Kluyveromyces lactis: one gene and its partner. The protein of the gene in region 1 interacts with the protein of each later gene in a biochemical or structural test. Links are inferred from orthologs where the notes say so. Each region holds a gene or a part of one and is shown on either strand. Other genes may lie near its edges.

What was found.
Region 2: the proteins of BRE1 (region 1) and LGE1 form a complex in vitro, tested with the Saccharomyces cerevisiae proteins (2 studies listed by BioGRID, with this or other methods). The link is inferred for Kluyveromyces lactis from reciprocal best matches to the Saccharomyces cerevisiae genes BRE1 and LGE1.

The regions. Positions count from the first base shown.
Region 1 is NC_006038.1:267,245-271,023, forward strand, and holds BRE1 (E3 ubiquitin-protein ligase BRE1), read right to left. Parts: upstream 2,546-3,779; coding exon 554-2,545; downstream 1-553. Other genes in the region: DUS4 (tRNA dihydrouridine synthase), read right to left, coding at 1-78; AHK1 (Ahk1p), read left to right, coding at 3,580-3,779. UniProt on the Saccharomyces cerevisiae protein: E3 ubiquitin-protein ligase that mediates monoubiquitination of histone H2B to form H2BK123ub1 in association with the E2 enzyme RAD6/UBC2.
Region 2 is NC_006038.1:857,602-860,072, forward strand, and holds LGE1 (Lge1p), read right to left. Parts: upstream 1,222-2,471; coding exon 529-1,221; downstream 1-528. Other genes in the region: IFA38 (ketoreductase), read right to left, coding at 1-238; AMN1 (Amn1p), read right to left, coding at 1,561-2,471. UniProt on the Saccharomyces cerevisiae protein: Required to activate transcription of PDR3, a gene involved in retrograde regulation of multidrug resistance, a phenomenon that takes place in cells that have lost their mitochondrial genome. Also required for ubiquitination of histone H2B to form H2BK123ub1.

The sequences.
Region 1 (3,779 bases):
TCTAGTTTTAATAATATGCAATGGATCATTTTTTTTTGTTAGCTTCTTAGCGGTAGGAAGCTGCACTGACAATGACATCTTACCGAGAGCTCTTGTGCGACCCGGAAAAACCTTAGAGATAATAAAGGACAGTTCAGTACTTTTAGAGACGCTACCAAAAATTTTAAGCGGACGACTAATACTTAGTATTACCGCTTCTGCTCTTGTGTGTCCCACCTTATATATATAGAGAGCCGTTACTATGAGAATAGTCCTGTGATTTCTTTATCTCATCGCAGTAGTCGATTAAATGTCAGACTTTGAATTTTGTTGATTTTTTAATCAGAACTACCGAATTAGGTATTTACAAGCGATATATTAGAATAATGTTACATAGATAATATATACAATGAAAAATGTATATAAGTCAAACTGTGGGGTCAAGGGGGTAAGGATGGATAAGGCATTTTCAAAAAATATATACCATTCTAAGAAGACAGGCGTGTTTACCGTTTGAAAATAAACGGCCTTGTTTTCCAAGATGCACCCTGATAGAATGCGGAATAAGACTCGTTCATAAATGTATGGATAGTAAATCGTTAGATGAGAAAGGTTTGTTACATGTAGGACATTTTCTCATCCTAGCAGCTAATCTTTCTTTGCAGCAAACATCGCAAAACACATGACCGCAAGTCTTGAGGGCAGTATTCTTCCAATTTTTGGAACATAATGAACAGTAGATTATAGTACGGAAATTCTCTAACTCTTCGGCTAGAGCACCATTGTCACCACCATTAGAGAGTAATGTCTTGTATAATTTCTTTGACTTGGCTTCAGCACTGGAAACCTTGATCTTCAGCTGCTTGTTTTCGATATCTTTGTCCTTGATTTTAGATTCGAGCTCAGTCTTAGTTCCGATTAGATTTCTGGTTTCTGATTCAAGACGTTCTGTTGATTTTTTCAATTTATTATTCTCAGATGTCAATTCCACTATCTTCATTGAAGTTTCTTTGTTAGATTCTTTGACCCTCTTCTCATTCTCTTGGGATAGGCTCAACTGCATGTGAACGTTTACGATCTTCTGTTGTAACGTCTTTTCAAGGTCCTTCAATTGAACGATGAGCTCGTTTGATTTGTTCAAATTTTTAGAAAGATTTTTGTTTTCTATCATTATAGCATCTTTGGATCTCATTGCAGCAAAATATTTTTCGCTGGCCTTTGTCTTTTCAACTGTCAATTTACTTAAAACAGATTCTTGGTTCAGGTATGCAGCATACTTTTTGTTTGAAAGATGTGACACCTCTCTGAAGGCCTTTTCGAGATCCTGTAATTCTTTCATTAATGCATCTTGGGACGCATTTTCTGAACTTCTGGATTCAAACTTTTGTAGTTGTTCTTGTTGGATATTCAATGACTTTTCTAAATCCTCTAACATCTCAGATTTGGTCTTTTGTGCCTCCAAAAGAGAAACTTTGGCCAATAATTCATCACGAATTGTTCTGATCCTAACTAAATCTTTCTCTAGAGAAGCATTGTGCTTTTTAAGGGTCTCCTGTGCTAAATTAAACTCTGAGGTAAGTTTATTGTTGAATATTTCTCTATCCGCGGATAGTTGTTGAAACTTGGTTAAGTAGCCTTCATTAATCTGTTGTAACTGTTCATTCTGTTTAGTTAAGGAACTGATTTTTTCATTAGTAACTGAAGCATCTGGTTGATGTTGCGAATTAGATTGAAGTTGGTTGTTAGAAAGCGCTGATTTATTAGATGCTACTGTTTGTCGTAGTTCCGAAAGTTCTCTTTCATTTTGATTTTTCCATTCCGTTAATTCCTTTACCGTAGCCTCCAAGACGGAGATTTGAGTATTCAAGTCATTTATTTCAATTTCGTGGTGAGCCTGAGATACTGCACTTTCTTTATTAGATTGGGATTTGTCTGAGTTATCATTTGACTCGTCATTCACAGAGCTTGCGCCAGTCGAAGATTGCTTCTCTTTCTTTACATTGCTATCATCATCAGCAGTGTTAAACACACGAGAAACACTTTCACTGTCCTGTCTATCATACTGAGCAATTATATTCTCATAATATTCGGTAGCCTTCTTCAGCTTATTTTCAGAGGATTTCAACAGCTTCTGTAAAGTCAAAGTGAGCGATTCTAGCTCCTGTAGTCTACCGATGTTATCAGAGATGTTAGATCCACTGGTCTTCAGTATTAGTTCGCATATCCTAGCACTGTTATTGCTGATTATCTGTGTAAGGGTATGCTCATCCTCAGTATTGATGAGTTGTTGTAAAAAGCGTTTGTCCTGCTCATCGCTGCAGTCCTCAACCACAGATCTAGCCAATACGACTATAGATGAACAGCATCCAGAAACCGACTCGGTGGTCTTCGAAAGCCCAGCCGCTAAAACCTCATTCTCTTCTACAAGCTGGTTAGCTTTGACTCTCCACTTATTCAAACATCTGAACAATGCCTCTTTTTGGAACGCTATTACATCCTTCTGCGTTAACGGCTCAGAAGGATCGGAAAGCTCTAGCTTTGGCCGCTTAACAAAATGGTCATTCATATATGCGGATTTATGTATAGGTCTCAGAAAACTTAGAGCTTGTATGACAATGTGAGCAAGTACAGTAAACCTTTCGTGAATTTCGTAAGCTCAGAATATCACACTGATAATCAGTCTCAAATTATATATCTCTAGATGTGAAAGACTGAAAAAAACCCTCCCACACTAAGTATTTTGCAAACTATAATGTCAGTAATACGTCTTGCCGAGTAGTACCCTTACAAGGCGTTCGAGATACCTCTTCAAGACCGACATTAGTGATGCTATCTTGTCAACTTTTAAAGTAAAACCTTTTTAACTTTTTTTCTTTGAAATATTTTTGGCGAATTTATCGAAAACCAAGGTCACGTGAAGGTAGCAGCAAGTAATCCATGTTCGCAGGGTGGAAAAAGGAAGTGCCAGGCAGCACTTTTTGATAAATTCATTACATGGTAAACTCTTGGGCTGTGTGCGTTCTAATGTGATGGGAAATGGCGTTGAATTTGATGTTATTACATGTGTTACTAATAGATTCTTGTTGTTTTTAGTATACAAAGATTTTTCATTCCGTTTCAATATAAGAATTTCTAAGATCTGAGATCCTTTAAGTTCACATAAAATATATAAAGTTTGTTTCTATATTCATTCAGTATTTTGTGTAGAGACAAGAGAATAGCAGTGGGACCAAATCCAATTGTATTATTGTGAGAAGCCCTAGTGATTGTATCAACACCTGGTGTAAAACGTTCGCTTTGATTATTTCACATTTCATAAGGGATTGCCAAAAGCTCTGACGTCTGTGTTTTGAAATCTTTCTGTCTCTGGGAACAAAAGTAGATTCTCCAGTTCTGACCCAAATTTAGATCTCAGAAAACATTTTATTCGTTCGATAGTTGCCTTACGTGCTTGGGGAAAGGTTTCGTACATGCGGTTAGAGTTATAAAATCCTCTTTTGAACGACCTTTCAGCCAGTAACCTAAGAAAGTTACCAATTAATTGAGATAGAACACTTTGAGAACCAACAGTAAAAGAAATCAAGAACAGACAGATTTAACATGGATACTGGCAGGCAAGATATGCATCTTTTGAATTCTTTGAATAAATTCATTAACCTCACAGCCTCTTCGGGTTCTATTGGTCACGGACCTGACCATGGGTTGTCTGTGTCACAATTGAAAGTGGTGACGAATTTCCTCCGATTGAATTTATTATCGCTATTACGTAAACTGGAACCACTTATTGAAGTATCCTCAGA
Region 2 (2,471 bases), about 590 kb from region 1:
CTTTACCAATACCGTCACTAGCACCAGTAACAACAGCATATGCACCTTTCCCCTTACCGTACTTCTTAAAGTCTGGACCTGGAAGAACAAACAAGTCTAAGACCATCTTGCTGAAGTTTAAGGTCAAAAACACCATCTTTGATATACCTAACCCGAAAACTATCCATGCAGCAACATTTAAGGAACTGCATTCTCTCAATGCTGTAACATTGTATAGTTGATCAATTAAAGCCACCATTTTGCACTGATCACTGATCCGTTAACAGAGTTTGCTACGGTTACCTGTGACAATTATTCTGCTCTGCCAATACTTGCATCGCGTATTACTCTACTCTTATGTCCCAAACTTTCAACTTTTTATTTCAATTTCTTTAGGATAGAAAATTGGATACCCGTTGGAACACAGTAAGTGACAAAATGGAATATATATCTAGCTGGAATGGTAATGATACATGGCAGTACTCTCATTGATTACATGACTAGTACTATTTATGATTCGAGTATATACTGATGTTCTATTCTTCCTTATTAGTTCATTAGTAGACTATCTAATTTCTCCTGCGTGAGCTGAACATTCAAAGCATCTTTTTCGCACTGCGTGCTCATTAAACCCAGCTCTAACTCGTCTTTGAATATTTTCAATTTGAGTTCTTCTAGTTTATTATCAATCTGATCATTCTCTTTGTACACCTCTTTGAGTTTAGATGTCCTGGAGTGATCATCGTTACTCATCATGTATATGAACGGATTCTCGTCCTTTGGTATGGTGAACTTTTTCTTTGGTTGTTCGTATTTGGGACTTGGATAAGAATTCCGGGACACCGGTAACACATTTGATCCCCGCGAGTACGCCGATGATGATGATACTGATGACGCCGTGGATGGTGGTGGCGCTGGTGGTACAGACTGCTGTCCGTAAGGTCTTCTGTACGTTGAATTCGAACCGTATCTACTATCGCTGTGTTGGTATGGATGGTAGGAACCTCCCCTGTACGTCTGTCTCTGCACTCCGTGTGCATGAGTGGGCTGACCGTATCCATACCCCTGTTGTTGATGATACCCCCCGTTGTTATAGTATCCTCCATCTTGTCTGTGATTCGACCTGTATCTTGGCGGACCTCTGTTATTACTATTAGGCTGATATCTGTTTCCAGAGGGCTTGTATCCATTGTAGTTTCCTCCGGACCTATAACTAGATCCTCCTTCGTTTGGTTCACTCATTTTCCGATACTGATAGGAGATTATTCACTGCTATACTATTGGATGAACAACTGCCTCATCTCATCTACTGAGCAGTGTCTCTCTTTCTAAATCTTCGTATTTGACTGCATTTCCAACTTTTTCAATTTTAAAACTATGTGATATTAGTCACGTGAGTTATATTGGGCAACTGCTACTTCAGAGCTGTGAGAGGAGCGGATTAAGAAGAGAATGATTTGGTTTAATTAGTCGGGAATATATAAGGTGCAAATTACATTAGTGTCATGATACGATTGGAGCAGTGGTTATATACCTGCTGATGGTATAACGTATGAGAGTCTCTCAGATTATTTTTTTATCTCAGGTCGCTTCGTTGACCCATCTATTTAGATCGTTGACGATCCGAGTTCTGAATTCCTTGTATAGCTGCTGTTCTTGCAATTCGAATTCTTTCTTCATCGAATCACTGATATGGATATGTATCGGTTTCATCAGATATTTGTGTCTCCAGTCACGGTATTGGATTAAGTTTTTGAAACGAACCAGTTGACAGTTCCGGATATCTAAGACTTTCAGATTTGGAAATCCATGCTTGGCAACGATATCGCTAATGCTACTATCTGATATTTGTGTGCAGCCATTTATTGACAATCGAACCAGCGTTGTTGAATGTTTGCTGTACAGTTGCCATATTGATACGTCAGAGATCTTGTCGCATCCTGAGAAACCGACCGTAGTAAGATGTTCTAACTCAGATAGTGCCATGATTGAAAGATCAGTAATCAAATGCGAGTTTTCATGACGCCCCAAGTTTATACTTTGTAGTTTGGGACAGTGCGTTACGATAGAAACGATGGAAATGTCACTGATCTGAGAACATGCACGTAGGTCTAAATCTATCAAATTCGGCAGCCCCAAAATCAGTGAGATTAACTCTTCGTCATTGATTTTCTTGTTGCCAGCTATCGTTAGTTTCGTTAAGTTGTTTGAAATGGTAACGTCATCGAAGATCGCTGGTAAGACGGGACTGATGTAAAAGTTAAGGGAATTGAGTCTTGTAAACCTGATACGGGGCAATTGATTTTCGATAAAGTTTCTATGCTGTTTAAGCTTGTAGAAAGTTAGACTCTTTGGATGTACTTTCTGGTCCAATTCAACAATCTTCAAATCGCCGGAGATAGAAGATTGTTGAATCACCAAATCCTTATTAATGATGCTTGATGCAACAGCAGCCCATACCGGATTGACTTTGGAACAACGGTAAAGGGACT